Neurospora crassa OR74A: one gene and its partner. The protein of the gene in region 1 interacts with the protein of each later gene in a pairwise test. Links are inferred from orthologs where the notes say so. Each region holds a gene or a part of one and is shown on either strand. Other genes may lie near its edges.

Evidence for each region.
Region 2: the proteins of NCU03061 (region 1) and NCU07954 interact in binary tests that used the Saccharomyces cerevisiae proteins (3 or more experiments, as listed by UniProt). The link is inferred for Neurospora crassa OR74A from reciprocal best matches to the Saccharomyces cerevisiae genes RLI1 and HCR1.

Annotation. Positions count from the first base shown.
Region 1 is NC_026501.1:4,383,064-4,390,584, reverse strand, and holds NCU03061 (translation initiation factor RLI1), read right to left. Parts: upstream 3,844-7,521; 5' UTR 3,560-3,843; coding exon 3,540-3,559; intron 3,404-3,539; coding exon 3,310-3,403; intron 3,242-3,309; coding exon 3,236-3,241; intron 3,164-3,235; coding exon 2,824-3,163; intron 2,772-2,823; coding exon 2,610-2,771; intron 2,545-2,609; coding exon 1,687-2,544; intron 1,634-1,686; coding exon 1,323-1,633; intron 1,246-1,322; coding exon 1,213-1,245; 3' UTR 517-1,212; downstream 1-516. Other genes in the region: crf6-1 (chromodomain helicase, variant), read left to right, coding at 7,095-7,508. UniProt on the Saccharomyces cerevisiae protein: Component of the multifactor complex (MFC) involved in translation initiation. Required for the binding of MFC to the 40S ribosome. Required for the processing and nuclear export of the 60S and 40S ribosomal subunits.
Region 2 is NC_026504.1:1,229,469-1,236,692, forward strand, and holds the start of NCU07954 (hypothetical protein), read right to left. Parts: upstream 4,474-7,224; 5' UTR 4,230-4,473; coding exon 4,211-4,229; intron 3,906-4,210; coding exon 3,116-3,905; intron 3,049-3,115; coding exon 3,033-3,048; 3' UTR 1,946-3,032; coding exon of another isoform or gene 1-1,945. Other genes in the region: pod-1 (mitochondrion biogenesis protein), read left to right, coding at 1-1,945; aod-1 (alternative oxidase), read left to right, coding at 6,045-6,403, 6,499-6,604, 6,675-7,224. UniProt on the Saccharomyces cerevisiae protein: Component of the eukaryotic translation initiation factor 3 (eIF-3) complex, which is involved in protein synthesis of a specialized repertoire of mRNAs and, together with other initiation factors, stimulates binding of mRNA and methionyl-tRNAi to the 40S ribosome.

The DNA of each region.
Region 1 (7,521 bases):
AGTGGTACCTACAGTCAAAAAGGCCGAGTTGACAAGCCCCCGCCCGACCAGAGAATATGGCTCTCCTCCACCTTAACACACACACATGCACACATTTCTGTACAGGAAGCCGGACGTGAGCCTTACAGGACTGTGCTTATTCTGCTCACGCCCAGATAACCTGGTTTTCTGGCAGTAGAGGTTTGCCAATCCTGTTTCTACGGTAGGTACAATACCAGAAATACTTATGTGGTGGCGGCAGTGTAAAGGAAGTGTTAGATTATTGAGTTCCCCCCCAATTTGCATCATCGAACAGCCGCTATAAGTCAGTCATGCGGGTTGGGTAGCATGTGCTACTGTCATGAAGGAGGGTTGCGGCTTGGGAAAGCGTGAACAAGACCAAGGGGTAAGATGAATCTGTCTTTGGGCTTTTGGGAGTCTTTCGTAGTTCGCGCGCCGGGATGGTACTTTGTCTGATCTAGAATCGCCTCTGCCTTTGTCCTCGCAGCGCAGTACATAAGGGACGAGGCGTTTCTCGTCCTGAAGAATGCTTGCTCGGCGGCAAGAGAAGCGCGATACCACAACTTGAATGGATGCAGTTCATATATGTGTATGTGTACAAAAACAATTCAGATATTCCCACTTGAAATTCAATATGTATTCATCAACTAGTCAGGTCAATCGCCTCTCTTGCAAACCTCCCCTTAATCCATTCTTTGTGCTTTGGTCCCCTCAAAACAACCACTTGGTTCTGAGAGTTCCGGCGGCAGTCGCCCTGCTTGACCCGTTGCCCCTCAATCTACAAAAAGTTCCAATCCAGGTTGGTGGTTTCCCCCCGTCCGCTGTTGTAGTCAACCCTCAAGCAAGGGTTTCACCAAAACCAAAAAGACAGCGCAAACTTTCTCACAAAACATGTGACGGAGGGGTATATCTCTCTCTTTTCGTAGGACCAGGCAACAGGGAACTGACTGCCGCCGCCGGGGTTAATCATTCGGCGCGTCGTCCTCAGAGGAAGAGGAAGAGACAGTTTCGAGATCAGAACCAGAACCGCCGCCGCCGCTACCGCTACCATCCCCGGCGCCGCAATGAATGGAGGAACTGCCATTTTCTTTTTGGACGCCTAGAACGCCGGAATCCGATGCATCATCATAACAACGACGGGGGCGTTTAGTATTGTTGCCTCTGCCGCTAGTCTTATTATTCTTGGGAAGAACATCATTGGAGACACCGTCTTTAACTGCTCTTCTCGGGATCGTCCAAGAAGAACTATAGGGGAAAGCAATGTTAGTATGAGGTCGCAGGATGGGAGAACTTTTCCAAATTGAAACAGAAACAAAACTTACGTAGTTGCCACTGAGCTTCTGCTCCTGGTCAAGCTGAGAGTTCAGCTTGTTGATGCGAGGGCGATAGTTGGTAGGATCACGGCGGAAAGTGACATCAAGGTTCTTCAAAAAGGTGTTGCAGCCAGTAAGCAAAGACTCGGGCTTGTTGGCGTGAGCGTCGATACCAGGCTTGCCATCAAAGACAATAACACGGTCGGCAAGGTAAGTGGCCATGATGAAATCGTGCTCGACGATGAAGGCAGTCTTCTTGGCGTGCATAATGAAACGCTTGATAACACGGGAGGCAATGATACGTTGCTCGGAGTCGAGATCTGGAAGACGGTTAGAAATGCATCTTAAGGGGGTGGGAAAGAGGTTCACGTACAGGCAGAAGGCTCATCGATGAGGTAGATATCAGCAGGAATACCGAGAGCAAGAACAATGGCAACTCTTTGCAGTTCACCACCGGACAGATGCTTGACTTCCTGGTCAATGAAATCATCAAGCTTCAGAGGCTTGACGACGTCAGTCTGGAACTGAGGAGACAAGAAAGCAGCCTTGATCTTCTTGAAGAACAGCTGGCGAACGGTACCCTCGAACTTGGGAGTGATGGTCTGGGGCTTCATGGAGATCTTCATCTCGGGAACCCTCTTGGTGCCGTCAGGCTTAAGAACACCGGCCAAAAGACGGCAGAAGGTGGTCTTTCCAGTACCGTTCTCACCCATCATGACGATAATCTCGGAATCAGAGAAAGAACCGGCGTCGATGGACAGGTGGAAGTTGCCCATGGTCTTCTCCATGGCAGGGTACTTGAAGGCGCGCGACTTTTCCTGGATGAACTCCTCAGTGCCTTCGGCAATGCGGAAGGTCAAGCTCTCGTCACGGAAACGCAAGTTCTCAGTAGGGATGTGACCATCGAGGAAAATGTTGATGCCTTCACGGACGGAGTGAGGGAGGGTGACGACACCGTATACGGCGGGCTGACCGTAAAGACAGCAGACGTAATCGGAGAGGTAGTCGAGGACAGACAAATCGTGCTCGACGACAATGACGTAGTCGTCGGGCCGGAGGAGAGAGCGAATGATGCGGGCGGCACTCAATCTTTGCTTGACATCGAGATACGAGGAAGGCTCGTCGAACATGTAGACATCGGCCTTCTGAACGCAAACGGTACCGATGGCGAAACGCTGGAGCTCACCACCGGAAAGGAGGGTAACATCACGGTCGTAGATGTGGCGCAACTCTATTCAAGATCAGCCAGGGCGTCCAAATAAGCAAATCACAAAGCGCAAAGCATGTGGAACCTACCAAGGGTGTCGAGAACCTCGTCAAGGTTATCGAGAGAGCGGCGGCCCTCAATCAGGAACTTGACGCTCTTGTCGGGGGTGCGGATGGCCTTGGGGATCTGGTCGACGTACTGGGGCTTGACAACAGCCTTCAGGTCATCCTCGAGCAGCTTGGTGAAGTAGTCTGCGATTTGTCAATCCTCTGATCTCCTTCCAAGGTGAGCCGTATTCCTTACTCTGCAACTCAGAACCGCGGAAGTACTTGATGACGTCCTCCCAGTCAGGCGGGTTGTCGTACCTGCCCAGGTTGGGCTTAAGCTTTCCGGAGAGAATCTTGAGCGCGGTACTCTTGCCGATACCGTTCGTTCCGACAAGACCCAAGACGTTGCCGGGACGGGGCATGGGAAGACGGTGGAGCTTGAAGCTGTTGGCGGCATAGCGATGGGTGATCTGGCTCTCGAGGTTGGTGGGCAGGTTGATAATGGTGATGGCGCCGAAGGGGCAGCGCTTGGGGCAGATACCACAACCAATGCACAGCTGTTCGGAGATGAAGGCGATGCGCGACTCGGGAGACACCTAGATATCGGATGTCAGGAGGGTGTTGTCGCGCAAAACACGGGGATCGCAAGGGGTCCGGAGAGATCTTACCTCGATCTGTTAGAGAGCAGTTAGCTGTTTGGTCTTGTTACCGCACGAGGACTATGGAGAAGAGGGAAGCTTACACAGAGTTTACCGGAGCGCACAACAGGGCATGACTTCTTGCATTCCTGGCGACACTTCTTGGGCTTGCACTTGTCGCTACTAACGATAGCGATACTACAGATACGAAACAGGCGAGGTCAGCAAGGTGGAAGCCAGACAGCGCATACAGCCAGACCAGCACAAGCCAGTATCGGCCGATGCTTCTACAAGCAGAGCACACACGCGTGCGGCCTTGGGATCGTAAACGCACCGAGTGAGTTTGTCCGACATCTTGTCTGTGATTTCGCTCTGCGGACTGATCGAGATGGGTGACTGTGGGCGGACCGCTATCCTAGGCGCAAAGCGGGAAATGGGGGAGGGGGAGAAATTCTCAAGATGCCGCACGTCTCGGAATACTACGAGCAGAGTGGAGAGGGCCAAACAAGGCGGAGGAGGCTGACACTCTTAAGTTTCTCCAGAGGCAACGTGGGTCGACGCCTGGGTTGTGGACAATGTCAGTTCCCTCGTCTCAAAAAATGTCGAGACCGCTGCACCGTGCGCCGAGTCTGGTGGCAGGGCGGATCGTAAAAAAAAAAGACCCCGCTTGCCCTGATGTGAAGTAAGGTAGGTCGTCGGGCTTCCTACTTAGGTACCTCTAGCCCCGCAACGCTATGTACCAACATGGTAGCAGGGTTGGAGCTACAAAAGAGGTGTAAGCTGAAATGTGCCACGGTTGATAGGTTACCTCTTAAAGGTACCAACTTTACCTTGGTATCTAATGCCAGGTGAAAGCCCACTGTTCCTGTTTCGCTGTCATTGCTTGCCTTAGGTGCCCCGTGTGCACTTTTTGTAGGTATGTAACGACCCTCCATATAAGTAGTAGGTACCTAAATTCCATCTCCCCAGTCGGGCTGAACTCTCAGTCCACCCCATGATTTCTGTCTCAGAATTCCATAACATGACAGGAGCTTCTACTATCCTATCATTGCGGTTGCACCAAGTATCTAGCTGATGTTCACGCAAGTGGTCGTCCACATTGGGTTCCACTTTTACTATTGTTCCTCTGTCCTTTGTTCTGTTTCCGCTTCCCATTGATCTCCCCTTCATTTCAGGACAACTTCTGCCCAAAGATTCTTACAGTGACCCAAGTGGCATCGTGGAGAGTTGGTTAATCATGGGCGTGTACTTAATGTCTTGCTGAAGTCAGTTTGTGCTCATTATCAGCCAAAACAGATCCGAGATCTGCTGAACACAGCCTTACATCGCCTATTTTCCCGAATACATGGTCATCGCTTCCAATGGACGACTATAATGCGGATGATGATGACTAGACAGTTTCATTGATATTGCCACTTTCTCTGTCCAGGTGATGATAGTTTCCTCCGTGGATGAACAGATCCGACCCATCCTTCACAAGTGAGCGTTAATATCTAGTACTCCCTCGGCTAAAGATAATGCGTCAATGGCAGCGTATTGTTTGTTTGGAGGGGAGTACTTGTATGGCCGACGACATCAAGCTTGATCATGACGCTCGGTAGGAGGATGTGCATAGTTACCTAGTTAGGGTTGACAACTAGAAGCGCTCGGACTCCTCCCACAACCGTATCGTTTAAGGAAATCACTCGCAGCATCACGGATGCCGTCAACGATCACGATGCAGAGAGGCGCAGGGTTACTGACATCAAACCGGACTTCCGAACAGAGCTCTGGCTGCCTGTCGACATATGTTTCCTGCGCCCCGGCCGGGCAGTGACTCACAACCAATCTACTCTGATAGCAGTCTATTCCACATGTTGTCGAGGCAGAAATGACATCGGCATCAAGACGTTGAAGATAGTTGCCGACAGAGGTCAATGTTGGCAGTCAAGGAAGGCTGGTGGCCCCAGCAGCACGGGATCGTGTGGATCCATCGTCCTGGACGGATCTGCTCCAGCTGCGCCAGGGAAGCGGTGCCTCTACCATACCCACTTGGACATACTCATAATCTGAAGGGAGTTTAGGACTGGTATTTCTTTGGTCGGATAGGCATGAGACGAGGATAAAATCTTTGATTAGGTATATCTGTTTCTCTTTGACACTTTTGGAGGCTCTCGGATTACGTTTGTGGAATGGGTTAAATAGAGGTGGCCCCGCACAATCACCTACAAGATGTTGTCGTCCTGACTGCCTGCCTGGGTTTGCCTGCGTCGGCTCGCAGTAGGTTCTCTTCGAGCCGGAGCTCCAGTGGCGGGAAATCATCCAAATCACCTTGGTGCCGGTGCTCGCGGTGTACCAAGTTGAAGTGAAGCACCAGGAGAGACCAGTGCATGGCTGGCACCTGCACCGGAGCTGACAAAGAAAACCCCTTCGACGCCAGCATGCCTACCTAGAAAAACCGGGCGACGTCCACGTACCGGGAGTATTCTCAGCTTGTCGTCCATCTTCCATCTTTCCCACCTTGTTGATTCCCAAGTCGCACCGGTACACAGTCGATGTGCCATCAACCGACAACAACACTTCTCTGAATCATTTGTTGTTATATCAACCACATTCCATCCTTGAACTTCTTCCAGTGTTGTATAACCTGATAGCTGAGCGGTCATAACCATACATACCTCCAAGCAATTGAATCGGGAATCGCCCGCTCTCGCCTGCCTCACACCGCCCACGCCGTCTGGAAGGGTACGATCGGAGTGGGCAACCAACGAGCTGGCAAGCTCCAGCAATGATATCCGACCAGGCTCGAGCCGCGTTGGGTTTGTGTCCTGTTATTCGTTCTTTCCAAACCCAAACTTACAAGAAACATTGATCTTACAGATCTTCGTCACACAACTGAAATTCGTGCGTTGTGAGCAAAACGGGCAAGGATCGTGACAGCGCCCATCGGACTGGATTAGGCAAGTGTGCTTCCTCCTGGCGCTACCATCCAGTGAAAGAGAACATCATTGAAGTGGTCAGATCACAAGACACGCGTTACATTTCGGTTTCGGTAATTACGGAGCTGGAACCTTTATGTGGCGGTCCCACACTTGAGTTCGGAGGTTGCTTCCAACGAAACTGACCAATCAGAAAGTGGGACTGAGCAAGCATTGAGTTGAGGGCAAGCGGGCCTCGTCTGAAGCACAAGCCAGGCAGTGGCCCACTGGTGTTGCTGGTTCTGGTTCACCATTTTCATGGATTCTTCTCCTCCGTCCATCACTGCGATTTTCCGCTACACCATCACCACTGCCAGCCCCCTCCCAGGGTCTCCGGCCTTGACCATTTCCCCCACCACCACTCCTCCCACGGCACCGCGATTGTGAATCTCGGGCTTGAAGATTCACTCTGCAGTCTGCTGCCTGGAGGCTCTTAATTCTTCCATGACTTGTGAGTCCAGCCACTGCCGCCCACTGCCCACTGCCCACTGCCCACTGCGTGCCCTGCCCTGCGTATTCGCCTTGCATTTTCCCCATCATTTCGCCCATCGAAGCGGGCCTCGTCGCCCTTGATATCCATCGTCTACCAGCTTGTAGAGGTCGCCAGACCGTCGATTCTTGATGAATATCGCCTCTACAGCTGCCCTAGACCATGGCCTGCTCTCCCGTGCCCTCAGGGCGCCCACACGCGACTGCAATCGCCGTCGCCGTCCGCCTCATCATCCACAGCCTTGCCTCCATCACTTACACGCGAGCCAATGCGACAATCATCATTGAGGGTCGTCCGCTACCCCGATACCGGATTTCTCTGATGATTCCGGGTCGCAAGAGTGGCCTCTTTCCATCGCCCCAAGTAGTGATTCGTAAATGACGCGTACCGCTGGCTGACATCGTCGTCTTACAGCAGGCAGCCTCCGCGTCTAAGTCTCAAAATGTCGACATCTCCCGAATCCGGTCCGGTGTTCGGGCATGTGTCACCGCCGGCGGATGACAGCCACTTCAACTTTACCAACGATACCGAAAGCACGAGCGACCTTTCAGACGTTAATGCCGCCGAGGCCGACCCAAATGACGACGCCGACGCCCAGTCGTATCAGCCTGCCGACGAGGCTGTCTCGCCGATACAAAAACCCGAGTTGACGTTCGAGGAAGCGTCCGATTCAGCAAGTGATAACGACGCGTCAGATGACGGAGACTTTGACGCCCCCGATAGCCCCAGGTCTGCTCAGAGCAACGAAGTCGTGTCTGCCTCGTCGTCCCGTACCGTCGTGAAGCGCAAAGTCGCCCACGCGACCGAGGATGATTACATCAGAGAGAATCCTGCCCTGTATGGGTTGAGGAGGAGTGTACGAATATCCC
Region 2 (7,224 bases), on another chromosome or scaffold:
CAAGACAGGAAAGCGATTCCAAAGTTCGGGCAAAGAGACCAAGGGTGATCATGACGAGACCAAGGCCGAAGCCAAGTCTTCTACAATTTCTCCTCAGCAAAAGTCCGAGCAACCACAGCAGCCACCGAATACCGAGACGGCTTCCGGTTCTGGTTCCCAGCCGACTCCCGCACATGAATCAATAGCAGATTCCATGTCTAAATACCTTCACCTTCCTCACCTCCCCCATTTGCCTCATCGGCCCACAAAAGAAGAGCTTCTGGCGGCAGCAAGCGGGTTCTGGTCGCGTCTCAAGGTCCGATTCAAGTGGTTCTCCATCAGGAGCATGCGCCCCTGGAACGCCGACGAATGGGGAGCGTTTGTGTCCTTCTTCTTATTCGGTCATTTGGTCTGGATTCTTGTTGGCACAACTACCTTCTTCTCCCTCATCATCCTCTTTATCAACACGGTGTTTGCCCAGGAAACGCTGGCCAAGTGGATCGGAGACTACCTGACCCAATCTGCTGGCCTTACTGTTGTCTTCGAGTCGGCTATTGTGCCCAAATGGGGAGATGGTGTCATCACTTTCCGCAATGTTTTCGTTTCTCGGAGACCTGGTCAGCCCAAGTCTTCCGTCAAGAAGGGTTCTTCCGAAGCTGCGGCCGAAGCTGCTGCTGCTAAACAAGCCGCCGAGCAAGAAGGCACTGCCGTGGAAGAGGACGATGGCAATTACACACAGTTTGACGTCACTATAGACACCGTGAACGTGGCTTTATCTTTCCTCAAATGGTGGAACGGAAAGGGTCTCCTCAAAGACGTCGAAATAAAGGGTGTTCGAGGCGTTGTTGACAGGACTTCGGTTGTCTGGGGCAACGAGGACCTCAACCCCCTTGACTTCAGACAGGAACATAACCCTGGCGACTTTGAACTGGATCACTTCAAGATGGAAGACTTGCTGGTCACCGTCCACCAACCGGGCGGTTTCCGGCCCTTTTCCGTTTCCATCTTCTCCTGCGAGCTGCCTCAGCTACGAAAACAATGGCTGTTTTATGACTTTTTGTCAGCAAATCACATGTCCGGATCATTCGATGGATCACTATTCACCATTCATCCCAGACAGATCCACGGTGTGTCCGCAGCAGATAACGGCCGTCACCACCAAGACGAGTTCGGTTCTCCCTCGGCCTGGAAGAAGTTCTCCCGACTACGGATTGATGGGCTGAAGATTGACCACTTGAACCGCGGTGTAGAAGGACCGTTTGGCTGGATTTACGAAGGCAACGTCGATATGATTGCCGACATCATGTTCCCTGCGGATCCTGAGGAGGGTCTAAGCAAGGTTGTCGCCGAGTTTTACGACAAAATGGAAGAAGCCGTAACCAGCAACCGCTACCTCAAGATTCTAGACGGCAACATTTCTCCCAACAGCCGAAGCAACACCAACAGCCCCACCCTCGAAAGCGGGCCAATTCCGGAATCTGCCTCTGACATCGACCTCACCGGCCACCACGACGAGCTCCCCACCTCGGAGCAGCACTTCCCCCCCTTGATCCCTCCCGCGACTCCCAAAGAGCCAGCCCCGATTGAAGAAACTCCCTCCTATCTAGTCATGGACCTTCGCATCCACCTCAACGACGTCCGCGCCGCTGTCCCTCTGTTCAACAACCCACACATGAGCTACGTGAACCAAGCCCTAGTACGGCCCATCGTCGCCTACATCAACGCCAAGCGCACCTACATCCCCATCAGTTGCCGGATCGTAAAGCGGCTGACGGACTTTGACGGAGCTTGGACCGTTTGGGACTGTGGGCTGATGGACGATATGAGCGCCGAGGTGTACCGTGCTTTTGCCAGAAACGTAGAGGATCAGCAAAGTAGGGTGAGGAGATTCAAGCGCGTGGGACTGTGGACGGTCAGTCTCGTGGTACATGCGTTGCTGGCTGGCGTGGCGGGAGACTTGATGTGAGCCGTCATTGGATATGACACTGACGATTATAGACTTTTGCCTGTATTTTATCAGGCGGGTAGAGGAAAAGTCTTGTTTTGTGACGATATGGGGTTGTGTTGTACTATCCTTTTTTCTCTCTCTCTTCTCTACTTTACTTTACCGTGAGGGGGTTACCATACCTTTCCAAGCGGTATTTCACTGTACTATACATACATCAAACATACTTATATGGCTCTGAAAAACAGGAGCTCGAAGGAACAGACAGGCAGGCAGGCAGGCAGGCAGGTTATGGTTATGAACAGGAGGGAGGGGATTTGAAACTGGTTTACGCTCTTAATGACCCGGACGGATCGAATTACTGGCTGGAATCATATGAATGCGGGAGGCGAGGTGTTTTGTGTGCCCTGGTTTTGTTGTCAGTGATGATGGTTGCTCAGGGCAGATCAACATCGCGATCGGAGTTTTAAGTGTTTTGATTAGGGTACAGCAACATTGTCTGAAAAGTTCACATGGTGTTCATGGTCGGGAAATATCACCTGTTCACTGGTGTAAGTTTCTGAGAGGGTTCTGAGATGGTGACTGAAATAGTGTTGGTTGTAATTTTAGCCATGGCATCGATAAGAGAACCTCACACCAGGATGATATGCAGCCTGGACTTTCGAAACGTGATGCTCGCCTTCATTATTGAATGCACTCTAAATCTACTTTCCCCCATGCTATATGGTATCTGCTGCCTTTTCCCGTCACCCCCAAGTCGCGACTCGATCAGTGCCCCAAGAGGCCATCCTCCTTTTTTCGTCCAGTCTGGCACTGATGACGACTCTGATCCCTCATGCATCCATCCAAGACATCATGCCACTGAACCTTACGTCCGGACGGCGGACGTGCCGTGACCGTTGCGCGGGTGTCGTGGTAGTCTACGCTTTCTTTTTACGCCATGAAACACACGCAACCGCTACTTTTTTGCTTCGCTCCGAATGCTTCCCGGGTGAGATGAGTATTATACCTGGTGAAGGGGATGATTCTACATCCCTTGATGGGAAGAGGGACTCGAGGCCTCTCTTCCTCACAAAGCGAACGATTGTGATTTATCGGTAGAAATCTTTCACATGAAGTCATCACTAGAGCGAAACGTTAGCAATCGTTCCCCACGCGTATCTTTTCTCACTCCACCTCAAGCCAACTTACTCTCCGAAAGCATCATCATCATAAGTGTCGTGGGCCTCAGCAATGGCACCACCACGACCAACACCAGCGAGCGAGGTCTTTGTCTTGGCAGCCTTGCTCTTCTTGCCACCCTTTTCGGCAGCCTTCTCCTCCTTGAGCTTCTCGTTGCTGAGAGCAGTCAAGGTGCTAGCAATCTTCTTGATCTCGTCGCTCTTGAGGTCCTTGGCGAGCTGCTTGGAGAACTCCTGGAGGAAGAGGGTGTAGTGCGGCTTGGGCGAGAGCTTGCCGATCATGGGGCCAAGAGTGGTGCGGAGGGTCTCAAACTGGGTCTTGGTGGTAGGGTTGAACAAGGCCAAGGTCGAGATGTCGATGGTGTTGTTGGGGTCCTTGGGGTCGATCTGGACAATGGTGCCCTTGCTGACGACCTTGCGGTCGTTGCTGATGCCGATGCCGGCAAACAGGTCCTCAGCGTGTTTAAGATCGGACTCCTTCTGCTCGCGGCGGAGGCGCTCGCGGCGCTCGGCCTCGGTCTCCTCCTCCGCGTCCGAATCCTCAGCCAGCTGGCGGGCGCGCTCGGCCTGACGCTCGGCGATGCGCTGCGCCTTGGACTTCTTGTTGGCGGCGGCTTCGGCCTCAGCCTTGGCCTTGGCCTCGGCGGCCTTCTTCGCCTTCTCGCGCTCTACCTCGGAGTCCTCGGCGGCATCCCACGAGTCGAGAACGTCGCTCTCGTTTCCCTCCTCATCGTCGAAGCGGCGGCGGCCGGGGGCAAGGACAGGCGAGTTGGGGGCGGAAGACTCCTCCTCTTCCTCGTCTGTGGTGATGAGGGGTTAGTTAGTCTGGGTTTCGAACAGGTTGTGGTGGCGCAACAGGAAAGTCGATGCAAGAGTTGGTTCTGGTTGATCTGTATATATAGGCTGCGTCGCTGAAGTCCAATTCGCCTCAAACATGGAAGCCTCGAGGCATATGGCAATGTTAACAGCGTCTATCGCAAGCCGGCGCAGGCATCAGGCAGCCTTGTCACGGCGATCGCGGCCGCCCACTTTCGCCGACATACACTGTTCGCGGGGTTCGTCTTGCGCAAAGAGGGAAAAGGCAAGGAGAGCGAGGAAGACTTACCCCACTTCTTTCCAGACATGTTTGCGATTTGGTAGTGACGATCTAGAAAACCGAACGGGTCTTTGCGACAACGATGTCTGGCGCGACGAGGAAAAGTTTGCGTGCTGTGGTTGGTTGTGTCCAAACTGCAAAAGAGAAGCCGATCGCAGTCTTGAGAAGTTGAAAAAGCGAGCAGGGGTCAGCCACCTTGAGTGTGGTTCCGTTCGCAGTGGGCAAAATAACTAGGTATTGTTAGCGGGGTTAGAAGACCAACAGTGAAACAGCAACAGCGTTTCACAGGTTCTTCAAGGTTCTTTAACGTCTAAGATTTTAATACAATGCCAAAACTGCCAGGGAAAAGGGCTTTGTGACCAATTGGATTTCATTGAGAAGATGCCCGATGAAGATGAGGAGGAAAACCAGAACCTCCAGACGCCTGGGGCGGCTAGTCTTCAATACACAGGAATCGTCCCCATTTATTCCTCCCGTTTATGTTTTACCAAGCACCTGACTTCCTCGTACGTCTTGCTTGCTACCATCCCTTCTGAATAACCACTTCCTTCCCATCTTTGGTATATATCAATGCCTTCCCTCCAGAAGGCTTTATGCGGGGTCAGTGCTGTGTCGCACGGGCCCGTCAGTCAGGGTCGGTGCTGAGTCCTGACAAAAACCATCAGTTCGCCAACATGCCCGTCTTTATTTCCCTTTTTCTTTTCTTTTCGTTCTCTTATCTTTTAGGACATCTTGTATATGCACGATGCATGCACCATATATGTACGGCCTCGGTCAAGCAGCATGTGCTAGGTGCAGCAGGCCTAGAAGGATGGCTTTTTGGAGAAGTCTGTTAACGCATGTGGAGAGAATGATTCATAAACAACTAGGTGGATGCTAAAGCTCTGCTCTTTCACCAAATGTTCTGGACCAGGAGTCACCCGAAAATGCCCTGCGTCGTCAATATTTTGTACACCACTTCCACCCCGCTTCCGACACGGGATAATATTTGGACACTTGCAATTGTTCCTTCGATCCTACACTCTACGAATAACTACCACTGACGTCACAGCAAAGTTAGAAGTTTAACATGAAGCCATTCGCAACTTATGGCCCAAGACATTTGTTTGTATATTTGCAGGTTCGGAAGCAACCAAGCCATTGCTCAGTCATGCTGTGTGTCCTATGAGAACAAGTGCGACTGGTGTTCCGTTTCCCTCCGCTCGCTATTACTGTCAGCAAAATCTCCAACACATAACTCGCCCAAGTGCCCTGTCAACCAACCAACCAACTATCAATGATCTCGAAATCTCCTGTGGCTGTCTTTGTGTTGAGTCACAATCCCCCAGTCTTAGTGTACTTGCTCAGGGGCTCGCTGTTCTTCTGGATATGTACAAGGCTAATCCCGAGAATGTTGCGGAAGTGGAACTGCGCCCTATGGCTTGTCACCCGGGAGGTCCCGACACCGCCAAACAACGACATCCAGCTGACCACCACAATCGATGCCCGGTTGCCACTTTGAGGATTCAAAATGAAATTTTGTCCTGGTTGAAGATCTGGAGCTTTCCGGGTTCCTTTCGCTAGCGCCCGCTATTTGCTTGTTCCTGGATTGTCTTGATGTTAAAAAATGGAGATTGCTTGGGCAGTGTCGGAACTCTATTGCTCCTTTGAGACCAGGGACGGACAAACTCGGTGTTTTCAGTCAGCTCTCGTATTCCAAATTTTTCCCTGAAAGGAGTTGCAACTGGGGGCAGGAAAGGACGATATAAACGTCCCGTGTCTAGTGCTGTCCGACACATATGGACCATCATCACAAACCTCAAGCGAGTTCCATTACAACTTCACATCACTCCCTAAACTCTCGATGAACACCCCCAAAGTAAACATACTCCACGCTCCAGGACAAGCGGCCCAACTAAGCCGTGCCCTGATATCAACCTGCCATACTCGGCCTCTCCTGCTCGCGGGCTCTCGAGTGGCCACTTCCTTACATCCAACACAGACGAACCTCTCTTCCCCATCACCTCGCAATCTCTCGACAACAAGCGTTACTCGACTGAAGGATTTCTTCCCGGCCAAAGAGACCGCCTATATCCGGCAGACACCACCCGCGTGGCCTCATCATGGATGGACAGAGGAAGAGATGACCTCGGTTGTTCCCGAGCACCGGAAACCCGAGACTGTGGGCGATTGGCTCGCATGGAAACTCGTACGAATCTGTCGGTAGGTAAATTCCAAGGAGGGTTCCCATATTGCCCCTCAAGTATCTTGCGGACGCGGAAGCAGACGTAGATTCAAAGTGTTCTAATATCAAACAGATGGGCCACTGATATAGCGACGGGCATACGTCCAGAGCAGCAAGTTGATAAACACCACCCGACGACCGCCACCAGCGCGGACAAACCTCTGACCGAAGCCCAATGGGTATGTTCTATGGAGCCCTACGAGGACGGAATGGCAACACAAGCTAACCAAATGTCGCAAATCCATATAGCTCGTCCGCTTCATCTTCCTCGAATCCATCGCCGGCGTTCCCGGCATGGTAGCCGGCATGCTCCGCCACCTGCACTCCCTCCGCCGGCTCAAACGAGACAACGGCTGGATCGAGACTTTACTTGAAGAATCGTACAACGAGCGCATGCACCTCCTCACCTTTATGAAGATGTGCGAACCCGGCCTCCTCATGAAGACGCTCATCTTGGGAGCGCAGGGCGTCTTCTTCAACGCCATGTTTCTCAGCTACCTGATCTCCCCCAAAATCACCCACCGGTTTGTCGGTTACCTCGAGGAGGAGGCCGTACATACCTACACGCGGTGCATCAGGGAGATTGAGGAAGGTCACTTGCCAAAGTGGAGCGACGAAAAGTTTGAGATCCCGGAGATGGCGGTGAGGTATTGGCGCATGCCGGAGGGGAAGCGGACGATGAAGGACTTGATCCATTATATCCGCGCGGACGAGGCAGTGCACAGGGGCGTTAATCATACATTGAGCAATTTGGACCAGAAGGAGGATCCGAATCCGTTTGTGAGCGACTATAAGGAGG